3 linked regions of the Xenopus tropicalis genome follow. The protein of the gene in region 1 purifies or fractionates together with the protein of each later gene. This does not show direct contact. Links are inferred from orthologs where the notes say so. Each region holds a gene or a part of one and is shown on either strand. Other genes may lie near its edges.

The links.
Region 2: the proteins of ikbkg (region 1) and birc2 purify together in Homo sapiens (affinity purification with western blotting; 6 studies listed by BioGRID and IntAct, with this or other methods). This does not show direct contact. The link is inferred for Xenopus tropicalis from reciprocal best matches to the Homo sapiens genes IKBKG and BIRC2.
Region 3: the proteins of ikbkg (region 1) and cntn2 purify together in Homo sapiens (affinity purification with western blotting, with the first as the bait; 3 studies listed by BioGRID). This does not show direct contact. The link is inferred for Xenopus tropicalis from reciprocal best matches to the Homo sapiens genes IKBKG and CNTN2.

Annotation. Positions count from the first base shown.
Region 1 is NC_030684.2:25,684,867-25,688,947, forward strand, and holds the start of ikbkg (NF-kappa-B essential modulator), read left to right. Parts: upstream 1-1,273; 5' UTR 1,274-1,472; exon of another isoform or gene 1,473-1,582; intron 1,583-4,081. Other genes in the region: g6pd (glucose-6-phosphate 1-dehydrogenase), read right to left, coding at 1,070-1,091. UniProt on the Homo sapiens protein: Regulatory subunit of the IKK core complex which phosphorylates inhibitors of NF-kappa-B thus leading to the dissociation of the inhibitor/NF-kappa-B complex and ultimately the degradation of the inhibitor.
Region 2 is NC_030678.2:162,216,071-162,220,185, forward strand, and holds the start of birc2 (baculoviral IAP repeat-containing protein 2), read right to left. Parts: upstream 2,879-4,115; 5' UTR 2,855-2,878; intron 2,526-2,854; exon of another isoform or gene 2,421-2,525; intron 1-2,420. UniProt on the Homo sapiens protein: Multi-functional protein which regulates not only caspases and apoptosis, but also modulates inflammatory signaling and immunity, mitogenic kinase signaling, and cell proliferation, as well as cell invasion and metastasis.
Region 3 is NC_030678.2:64,715,119-64,719,485, forward strand, and holds the start of cntn2 (contactin-2), read left to right. Parts: upstream 1-1,489; 5' UTR 1,490-1,613; intron 1,614-4,367. UniProt on the Homo sapiens protein: In conjunction with another transmembrane protein, CNTNAP2, contributes to the organization of axonal domains at nodes of Ranvier by maintaining voltage-gated potassium channels at the juxtaparanodal region. May be involved in cell adhesion.

The DNA.
Region 1 (4,081 bases):
GGGTGGCCACCTAGTCCCTGCACTATTGCATTGCACCCCCCGTGTGTTTTGGCGGGGGGGTGCGATGTGAAAGTTCATTGCCCCCACCGCGGCAGGGGTAATGAAAATGGAGCACTAACTAGGGGTAGGCAAGAGAGGCTCCTGCCTGGCGCCCTTCAATCGTTGCCCCCTAGGCAGCTGCCTCTTCTGCCTACCCCTAGTTCTGGCCCTGAATGCCAGTCCAGCCTGTGCCCCCCAACTGTGATTGAGTCACATGCCCCTGCTGCCTAGCCCTAGTTCCAGCCTTATGCTTCCTCGTACATCAGGATTTAAGGCAGAGTAGAGCAGCAGGGTTGGCAGCTGCCATATATATGACTTCCTCTGCCTATTGGGGTACATAGGTGTTTTTGGGTCAGGAGGGAGGACTCTGCAGGGAAATGAAAGAGAAAACCATAAAAATTGCTTTATTATCACTGGAATAACAAAATGCTGCAATTGGTCAGCAACTGGCACAGTGCCTGGTCATTAGGAACAGTTCCCAACTATGGATCACTTATACATACATATAATATACATAGATCCAATATGAATTTCAGAGTTACGTGCGCACACATTAAACACATACAAGAGCAATGATTAACCTGTAAAAATATTCATATACAGATATGGCACCTAGTGATGTCATTGTTTATAATCAGCACTTAGTGATGTCATTCACAGCACCACCCACTGATACTTATATAGAATAATGTGGCCCCTGGTAAAATCCCATTATAGTAGAATATAGCTCAGGGTTCCTGACATGCATATATACAGGTGTATATGAAACCTAATGCTTTAGCAGCTGGATTCATCGCTCTAGAACACTAACAGATTTGGTTTTCTAATTGAGACGCGTGTGGCAGTTCTATGGCAGTAATTTCTCCATTGAAAGAAGCATGCTGCGGAGCGTGTAAGCAGGCTGTGTGCTACTCGTGTAGCCGCTACCCCCCACACGCTATAACTAACACACACACAGAGAACAGGTTTCCACACATTTTTCTAGTGCTGGAACACTGACACCAGGTGAGAGATCCACCCCCTCACTCACCCACACTGGGACTGCTCCCCATCTCTGCCTACTTCTGTAGCGTTACACCCAGCCCCGGCGCCGCTCCACCAATCAGAGAATGGTTTAGCCACCACATGGGCGTGGCTTGCGTCATTCACCGCCATGAGGTGCGCCGCATGAGCACGGTTCCCCAATGAAAACAGAGAAAAGCGGCAAACAGCCAATCAAAGGAGGGGATGTTGCCGAAGGTCGCCATCAGGAGAGTATTGGCACATTTTACCGCTTACATTTTTTTCTAATCCAATGCAGTCATGCCATGCTTCATTTCCGGTTTAGGACTCCTGCCCCACTTCCGACAATACTGTCAAACAGCGTGAGCCTCATTTCCTGGGGTTGGACCATCTACGGAAAGCGAACCCGGAAGCGATACAAAAACACTTTGGTAAGTGTCTTGACAGAACCTGGACTTCAGTTTCATTTTGTTCAAGGAATGGGTGGAGGAAGCCGACCCTGAGACAGTGAGTGGAGACTCTAAGCGTTACTGCACAGTAGGTAATTAAAAGTGGTTTTATACTAATAGAATGGGTGTCGGATCCAGCACCCATAGCAGAACATCACAAGCAGCTAACCCATACATGCATTCAACGTTTTCACTGATTTTACAGCTATTTGTAAATGCACTCGGTAGCTGTATGTATCCCTTCCTGTGTATAGTCATTGCTCATGCAGGTTTCAGTTGTCAGAACCAGCAGTGTAGAGAATAGCAATAGGGTATGTCGGACAGTCAGCTGATTGTGCTCTATTTTAATGAAAAGACCTCTAAAAAACCAATTGTACCTGATGATGTGAAGTGTAGGGGGAATCAGGGAGATTTGGAATGGAGGAGAGCTTAGACAGCAAGCTGTCAGTAGCAGCATTTGTATACACCATAGGTCACATTCACTTACCTAAACGCAGGGCATAAAGTGGAATTTACCCACAGTGCACTGTTTTTTTCCAGAATTACGGGGTCATTGCAATCACAAATTGATGATTCTCTTGACACAATTGCAACTCATCTACTACAGTTGCGTTAGGTTTGCCAAAAATAGACCCAACTGCGTGTGTGTGGCGCAGATGCAGTGCATATTTTCTAAAAGTGCCTGGCGAGATCGCCAAGTGAGCGGATCTTCTCCCGATATCCCCCACCTACGGGTGGGCAATATCGGGTGAATTCAGGCTAATTCAGTCGGGGACCGCATCAACAAGCCGATGCGGTCCCCGATCTGACTAAAATTTTTAACCTGCCTGATTGATATCTACCGATTTCAGGCCAGATGTCGGTCGGGCAGGCCTGTCGTTTGTGCCCCTACTTGGGCCGATAAGCTGCCGAATCAGTCTAAGGGACCGATATCGGCAGCTACAATCGGCCACCTTAAGCCTGCCTGTCATGTGGACACTGGTGGTCAGGTTATGTTAGTCGGCTTGCATAGGCAGTGTTGTGAATGGCTGGATTTACAGGGGTGCAACATCTGCCCCTTTTGCCCACTTGCACATTGGCAATGGAGATACCAGCTGCATTATATTGGGGTCAGAGGATAGTCTGGCAGACTGCAATTGCAATACAAAGCAGTCCAAATAATTTTATGGTAAACTATATAAAGGGGCATATATACATGCACACAGCAACAAGGGAATTATGGGCAGTGCTGTGCCCTAGGGTGCAGGTGGCACTGTCGGCAAGGAGTTTCTCTGTTTTCTGCACTGCTTTCCTCCCTCATTCAAAAACATACAGGCAGGTTTATTGGCTTCTGATAGAATTGACTCTAATGTGTGTGAATAAGATAGGGACCTTAGATTGTAAGCTCACTGGGGCAGGGACTGATGGGAATGTGATAGGGACCTTAGATTGCAAGCTCACTGGGCAATGACTGATGGGAACTTGAGATTGTAAGCTCACTGGGCAATGACTGATGGGAACTTGAGATTGTAAGCTTATTGGGGCAGGGACTGATGGGAATATGATAGGGACATTAGATTGTAAACTCACTGTGCAGGGACTGATGAGAATGTGATAGGGACCTTAGATTGCAAGCTCACTGGGCAGGGGCTGATTGGAATATGAAATGGACCTTAGATTGTAAACTCCACTGGGGCAGGAACTAATGGAAATGATGTATAATCTCTTTAAGTGCTCCAGAATATGCAGACACTATAAAAAGTAAGAAAGGTAATAATTAAATGTTGGTGTTAATTGTCCTTTAATCCCATATTGTAATTATGTAATTTTGCTCTGATCCCAAACAGCAGACACTGATCACCTGGGCTGCATTCCTCTTTGCTTCCTTCTTATCGCTGTCTCTCCAATAACATTCACAACTACTTCCTTATTCCTTCTGATAACATGGGAGAGATATAATTGGCCAATATACTATGTGATGTCATCAGGACTTTCCCTTTTTCTCTGGTATTCAGAACTGGTCATTGGTTTCTATTAAACCGTTTCCTATTTACTTTTGCTTTATGGTTGGATGTCTATATCTGTTTATAATGTTTTATGTTTTTATGTTCTTTTTTTCTATTAGTAGAGGTAACTATGGTTTACAGTCTGGTTTTACCAAATAACTAGCCTTTGGGGTGGGGTAAACATTTTTACTGGCCCTATGGATTTTCCCATGTGTCATGGGGAATTTCCACCCCTGTATATTCAGTGTAGTCTCTGAAACTCAGGTTCCCTAAATGCCTTTGTAGGCTATAAATGAAAAGCTACTTTTAAAGAGGTTGTTCACCTTTATGTGGATTTTTAGTATGTTATAGAATGTCCCATTCCTAGCAACTTTGCAGTTGGTCTCCATTATTTATTTCTCTTAATGTTTGAATTATTTGCCCTCCTTCTGCCTCTTTACAGCTTTTAAATGGGGGTCACTGACTGTGGCAGCCAAAAACAATTGCTCTGTGAGGCTACAATTTTATTGTTATTTTTTTACTTTTTATTCCTTATCTTTCTACTCAGACTCCTCTTATTCCAGTCTTTTATTCAAACCACTGCCAGGTTTCTAGGGTAAATAGACC
Region 2 (4,115 bases), on another chromosome or scaffold:
AGCAATGGGAAGAAGCAACGGACCACATATACGATTTTCTCATAGCCACTAGAGATAGAGTTATACAATTCAAATTCTACCACCAAGTATATATCACCCCAACCAGACTTAAAGCTATGGGCAGATCACCAAATGCAGAATGTCCTAAATGTCACAATGTCAACGCAGGATTTATCCATATGGTATGGGACTGCATCCACATAGCTAACTACTGGTCTGGAATCATACAATATCTCAACGAACAACTAATCCTACCTAGAGTCAGGACCCCAGAAGTATGCCTCCTAGGTCTGATAGACGAGCTAGTTCCACAAAATCAACCCAGAAACTTAATGAGGGCAACACTGTTCTACGCAAAAAAATTACTTATCATGAAATGGATGAGTCCTATTGCACCCACAATAGCAGAATGGGTAGCGATGACCCGCAATCTAAAACATAACTACCATCTAACAGAAATGATTGAATCCAGACCGATAGTAAGCTATGGTAAATGTATATGATCCTATAACAGCTGAAACAATAAAACAACAACAATTCTTTGTACTGTACCTTGCTAATTTGACTGCAAAAGTTAACAGCTACATTGTTTGTAGCTAATGTCTGTATATGTTGTATTGTTCTTAAAATGAAAAATAAACACCTTTTAAAAAAAAGACAATTATCAGTAAATGATCAGCATTGTCTGACAAGTAGCTGCTTCTAGTAGCTCTGTGTGTCTTCACCCTTAAAGGAACAGTAACACCAAAAAATAAAAGTGTTTTAAAGTAATGGAAATATAATGTGCTGTGGCCCTGCACTGGTAAAACTGGTGTGTTTGCTTCAGGAACACTACTATAGTTTATATAAATAAGCTGCTGTGTAGCCATGGGGGCAGCATTCAAGCTGGAAAAAAGGCACAGGTTACATAGCAGATAACAGATAAGACACCATTGTATTCTACAGGGTTTATCTGTTAGCTGCTGTATAACCTGTGCCTTTTCTTCTTTTGAATGGCTGCCCCCATGGCTACACACCAGGGTTTATATAAACTCTAGTAATGTTTCTGAAGCAAACATAAAACTTTTACCAGTGCAGGGCAGCAGTACATTATAGTTTAATTTCTTTAAAATATATAAATTTTTTGGTGTTACTGTTCCTTTAAGGTGGCCACACACGTGGCGATCTGACGATCTTTCATGCAACCATCGGTCGCACGAAACATCGCCAGATCCGCCACACACCATTCAGCTCGCCAACATGCCATACACGCACCGAATATCGTACGAAACAAGGTTTCATACGATATTATCGGTGCGTGTATGGCCAGCTTTAGATGTAGACAGTGGTATTTAGAAACAATTTGCAATTAGGCTTCATTTTGTTTTTTTTCAGTGTAGAATTGAGGCAGCCATCTGGGTGCTGAGCAGTAAGTGTTCCAATTTACTTTAGAAACCAGCTAGTGTTTCAGTTTAGCCTAGCAACCAGGCAGTGGTTTGAAAGCCAGACTGGAAGATTAATAGGACAGGGGCTGAATTTAAAAAAGTATAATACAAAGCAACCTTAGAACTTTAGCCTCACAGAGCGTATGTTCTTTGGCTTTCCTGAAATAAGCAGAAAAAGAATGGCAAATAATTAAAAAAAAAAGCTGCTAATAGGTCATTCTATTACAAGTAACCATTTGTATGATCTTATGGTGACAGAAATCCATTAGATGACTGCTTGTGAGGTACCATTCAGGAACATGAGCTGAGCTGGATGTTTAAAGGGGAAATAAGCTATACAATTACATTATAGCATTAATCCATTTGGTATTATCCATACTGTGAGACAACTTCCAATTATTCCTCTTTTATTGGTAGAAAAGGAGATCAATCCCAAGGCTAGATTTTCTTTAGCACCTTCTGCCTTTATTCCCTCATAAGTACCATAGTCTGGTTGCCAACCTAACAAAGCCATAGCAACAAGCATTCTTTTTAAACCAGAGAGCTGTATTACAAAAATATCTATTGGTTAAAAAAAGAAAAAGCACAAAGAGTAGTTAAAATAACTAGACATTCCGTTTAGTCACCCTTGGGGCAGCCACACACAGAGGCAAGGGGGTCGCTACACACAGCCTTCATGTGGAGCAGGGGCCAAGCTGCCACGTATCGCTAGAAGCTACTGTACAAACAATGCCACACGGTTATATCATGCTAACAATTCTTTCATTAGCAGCCTCCATCGTAACTTCGTAACATCGTCCGGTACAGCAAAAGCCATTACAAGCGAAAAAAAGATTGACATCGCTCCCACAACCAATCCGCCAATAGACTCAGGCTGCATTGTTCATAACTGCCTATCACAGAAGGGGGCGGGGAAAACCGCAAGCTGCCTATCACAGAAGGGGCGGGGAACCCGCAAGCTGCCCAATCACAGAAGGGAGCAAGGAAATTACTTACGTAACAACTATTTCAGCAGCGCCCACACCCTGTGCTGATGGGAGGGAGGGCGACGGGCTGGAGACAGAGCTCTCTTACTTTCTGAGGGAGAAACTGTGTCGCACAAACAATTTATAGAAAACCTTGTGAGCGGGGGCGGGGCGTGACGCATGCCAATACGTCCTGTCCATTTAAACCTGTGCCCAAAGAAATTACTTGCACCCGGGTATGCCCGGTTGCGGAGCACAACTGGTATCGCTTCCCTAAAGTAAGCTTACTCCAACAGGGAACGCCGCGACCATTTTCTCTCTATGCCTTTGCGTCCGATTTTTTTTTCTCGTTTTCCTGCCACCGCCGCATTCTTCCGCTTAATCGTCAATAAAAATCCACCGTAGCGATATAAAACGCGGGAATCACAAGCTACACAGAGAAACACAGCCGCAGCGCTCCCTTACCTCGACTGTACCATGGCGCCGGCTAAACTAGATCTGCGCTTGCGCAGTACGTGTAATTGTATATGACGTGGTAATGTTTAATACGAATTAAAAATAGTTTTGACCAATTTATTTAGAATATCCTATGCATGAATTTCTTTATACATTCATGACGATTCGTTTCTCGTATGATAAAGGTTATTCATTGTAATCTATCCGGGGACTTTCCAAGCGTGGGAAGCTGTCATTTGTGGAACTAGTGTCATTCTTTGGCTTTCATTCCAGTCCGGGGAGTTTCCTAACTCATGGCGTGTGCAAGCTGGGATTTACACAGGGGAAAAACTATGTAATTATTTACCAGAATGGCTGATTATTATTATTATTAACATTTATTTATAAAGCGCCAACATATCCCGCAGCGCTGTACAATAAGTGGGTTTCATACATTGGACATACAGAGTAACATATAAAGCAATCAGTAACCGGATACCAGGTCAGGGGAAGAGAGCCTCTCCCCAAAAGAGCTTCACTCTACAAGGAATTACTGCATTTCATACATGTTGGGCCATACAGAAGTAACATTATAAAGCAATCAGTACCGATACAGAGGGGAAAGGGAGCCCTGCCCAAAAGAGCTTACACTCTACAAGGAATTACTGCATTTCATTACATTGGACATACAAGAGTAACATATAAAGCAATCAGTTAACCGATAACAGGAGGGAAGGGAGCCCTGCCCAAAGAGCTTACACTCTACAAGGAATTACTGCATTTCATACATTGACATACAGAGTAACATATAAAGCAATCAGTAACCGATACAAGAGGGGAAGAGAGCCCTGCCCAAAAGAGCTTACACTCTACAAGGAATTACTGCATTTCATACATTGGGCATACAGAGTAACATATAAAGCAATCAATAACCGATACAAGAGGTGAAGAGAGCCCTGCCCAAAAGAGCTTACACTCTACAAGGAATTACTGCATTTCATACATTGGGCATACAGAGTAACATATAAAGCAATCAATAACCGATACAGGAGGGGAAGAGAGCCCTGCCCAAAAGAGCTTACAATTAGTACTCCATTTAAATTTATGAGGGAGAAAAAGAAAGGCTGTACTGCAGGGTAGCCAGATTTTTCCAAACTAGCCAAAGTCAGTTCTAAAACTAGCCCAAAACTAGCCAAAAGCCACTTTGAAAGTAGCCCAAAAATGTATGTATGTATATCTTAATTTATAAAGCGCTACTTATGTACGCAGAGCTGTACAGTAGAATAATACA
Region 3 (4,367 bases), on another chromosome or scaffold:
AATGAATCGCATAAGTCAGTGTAGGAACTGGTTAGAAGGGATGACTTTGACGCAGTTGGCCAGCTTGAAGTATATTGCAATATATGGACAAACAATCCCTGTTTTGCTTAAAGGGAAGGGCATTTCTTAGTAGCTTAATGCTCCGAATGTCTTAAAGTCATATATATATTGATAATGGGTGAGTGCAGAGGATCTCTTGTTGTTGTTTTTATATATATATATATATATATATATAGTGGAAACGATTGCACTAGACTGGCAGAAGTAGAGCCGGCAGGAGAATCTGTGAGCAACAGGTTGGTGAGAGGATTGCAAGTGGTTAGGAGGGGTTGGGTGCGAGCAGTGGGGGGGGGGGCTAGGGGTGCAGCACCTTTACATCTGGACCTAGTTTTTCTTTTTCTACAAGTGTGTGCCACAAAAAGTTTACATAGACAAAGAAAAATAAAACTTACAATAAAAAGTGCAAGTTGCTGGATTGCACTGATTACAAAATCAAAACACACCAAAACACATCTGTGATAATACAGCTTATGAACTGGTGTTGCTGGACTGCCAAAAGGACACACACAAACAATGTATGCCTTAATACTTAAACCATCTTGGCCACTATATACAAACTTATGAAGGCTCATTAACTTGCGTGTGCAAGGTGTGAAAAACACATGCATCATTTCAGGCACACAAATGTATGTGGTGCCAAAAAAATGTATGTTGATACAAGGAAGCAAATACAAGGATCTCAGTTAAGAAGGGTCTCTATAATATTAGAAATCGTTTTCCCTATAAGAAACAAAAGTCACAAAGTTTATTTAGGTGCAGAAACCCAGAGCAACTAGTAAGATATTGGCTTTTAAACAGGTGACCTGTAAATGCTACCTGCTGATTGGTTGCTACAGGTAAAAAAGTCCTTCTATTGCATAAGTTAACAAGAAAAAAGACAGTAGGCAGGCACGCTGGTATCCACAAAGCATCAAAAAGTCAGGAGTATTCATAAAAGGTTTACATTTTATTTAATCCATACATACATATTGCATAGCCCCCATGCCTTGTAATGATCACAATCAATGTGTCAGTTATTAAATTGCTGAATTGTTTCTATCATCATTTTTCTTGTATTTGATGTAACAATGCTGAGACTATCGCACATGATTTACATATTTATTTAATAGGACACCAAGAGTGAACATAATACTCTTGTGAATATTTAATCATAACTTACTTGTATAATTATTTACAGTATACAATTTTCACAAATTAGCTAACTTGAAGATAAATACAATTAACAGATAACCATTATATGCCACATAATGAGGCAGTATATTTTTGTTTTTTACAAATTGCAATACTCAATGAACACTTGATAAAGCATTCTCTCAGTTTTTTATTTATCTGCTGCTTGGACTCTTTGGCCTTTGAAAGAGAGACAGGGAGGGAGAGGAGAGGGAGGAGCATCTAATCTAGTGATGCAGTCAGCTTGCAGTATCCTGGTGCACACACACATCTACATACACATACACTGAAGCTGCACCCTCCCTATTTGCTGCAGATCTCTGTGTGATGTGAAGACAGAAATACAGATACCAGCTTCTGTAGCTTTCTCATTTGGCTTTCAGGTAAGATGTGTGCTATACTACTGTACCATTTTGGCCTTTATCCTTTTGATTACTGTTAACTATTACAATGCTAGCCGTTTGATGTTCATAAATGTTTAAAGGCAGCTTATTAATAAACAAATGAGGTAAATATTTTACTATCTTATTGTTTAAAATCATAACTTTTGTAAAAATATGGCAGAATGATCTGTCAAGAAAGGATTATCCAGATATTATTGGAATGCAAACACTGATAGCACCTATTAAGTAAAAGCAATAAGCATAGTCTTACAGATGTCAAACTCAGCATTAAATAAAGGCAGGAACTCTCTGGGCATCCAGACCTTGTTCCTTACTTTGTAACTGGGGTAGCCAATGCTAGTTGACAGGGTATAACTCATTTGTGTTGGGCACTGAACACACATTCATACACCAGTGGAGTATGGCCAGGGGTAGGGGTTTATTTAGCTACTCTAACTGGTGGGACATAAACAGGAATGCAATTTGTATGAGAATCAGTATTCCATGATTGTTGATGATTTTGTTATTTTTCTTAGTAACCACAGAAAACCACATATTGGTCAGTTTTATACATAAAATATGTATATGATTAATAACATACCTAAGCAACTTTCAGCTACCATAATGTGTAGGGGGTGATCTTAGGAGTCTTTCATTGCAAATCGATCTGCACAAATATTATTTGTAGGTAAAATATATGAGAATTGCCTTAAAAAATATAAAAAGACTTGAGCATATTTCTGCTTATGTAATAGGTGACAGGTAAGCCATAATCACAGTTTGCGGTTGGGGGGCAGTAATGGGAATGCAGTTGGACTATGAGCTGCAAATCTCTGTCACATCACTTTCTTGGGGTACATCTTTTTAGCAAACTGTAATAGCACATAAAATGACACCAAAACCCACAAAAATGTGTTCAAACTTTAAATAACCTGCCAAATTTTGTAAAAGGGAGTGGTATTTAGGGGGTGTGATCACAAAAATGGGTGTGGCAAAAAATGTTTGCCACGCTAGGCACAGCATTTTTTTGGTCCCTCATTCCATTTTGAAAATGTTGGGAAGTATGCACAGGTCCTGGTGTGATTCTATGGTTTAAGCTTCCCATATTTGGTAAATACTGGGATATTGTGACAGCAGCAGCATGACGCACCTGAATCACTTATGCCCCAGTATTTACAAAAAGCTACCATGCAGTTTGCCTTTAACTGTCACTTGTATAGGACCTGACCTGCATGTCTGCACATTACCATAAGATTATAGTTCTGTAGCAATGTGTCTGAATTTTGTATATACAATGGAAAAATGTCAACAGCTCTCATCATTTTAACTTTTAACTTAGTAGTATATTATTAGCCTGTAATCAACTGATTTTTTGTGATTATTGGCTGTTTCAGTGTTTGTTAACATATTTTATTTCAATTAAAGTTGGAGTATTAGCTGTATGAACCTAAAAGATTAATTTATTTTATTGTAGTAACAACCTTCAATGTATAAAGGTTGCAATAGCGAAGTAAAATCAAAAAAGTCAAAAGTCAAAAGCACATTGGAGCACAGAACTGGAGTGCTGGTTCATTCTTTGATTTTATATATATAAAAACAGAGTGGAGCACACACGTCACCAAAATAACAGCCCTGGGTGCAGATCAAAAAATAGACATATAGAGGAAGAGTACTGCACGCTCAGGTACAAAAGAAAAAAAGTTTATTGAAAAAACTTGACAACAACTAATCAAATCCACACCAGAGTATTTGTCTGAATCTTGCAAAAAGTGCTAGGATTCAGCCAAATCCCAAATTGGATATGGTGTATTCCTAGTATACATGTAATACATTGTGTTAAATGTTTCAGTTATATAGGTGCTGGGGAAATGTAGTTACAGGCAACAATAAGGGGTTTATTTACTAAAATTAGTTTTTTTTCTGGCTTTGTCAGTTTTATAAACTCGAGATGGTATAAATTTAAATTTCTAAAATGTCACAAAAATGATTACACAATGTTTACAAATGAAAATCCGGAATTTTTCAAGCAGAAAGTATTGTTAAAACTTCAAAAATTTGAGTTCAAACAGACATGTGTTTCCATGAGTCCTCTTTATTTTTCCCAAAGAGGAATTGATCCAGCAGCCATTTTAGGAGCATTGGCACTCAGTCATGGAAAACAATATTATGTTTAAGTTTCACTTGAAACTGGGGAAACAGAAAACAATGACTGGATTAACTTCCCCTGTACTTTGTAGAAAGTTTATATTTACCTTTGTCTGGTAAAGATACGTACAAACAGTTAAGGGAGTACAAGGCACTCATTTCAAAACATACAAACTTATTGGATAAGAACTGCTCTTTCAGTCAAATAAAAATGACAGGCAAGTTAATTGAAGAAATATGCTACAGACCTCCACGTGTAAGTGAAGAAAAAGGAACTCTGGTCCTGTCTGGCTGCAAGTTTGGGGATTCTTAAAGGAGAAGGAAAGGCTAAGTCACTTGGGGATGCCAAAATGTTAGGCACCCCCAAGTGACTTTAATCGATTACCTTTTACCCCGGGCTGGTGCCCCTGTTAGGAGAGAACCGTAGTTCTTCAGTGAGCACTTCCACATGTGCAGTGGAGTGAAAATATAATATATATATTATGTAATGTTTTTTCTTAAAAACATTGGGTCAATAAAGACACCAAACTTTAGGAAAGCAAACTTGTGTACCCTATGATCGTTACTTGGGGACACGGGGACAATTACATAGTTACATAGTTACATAGT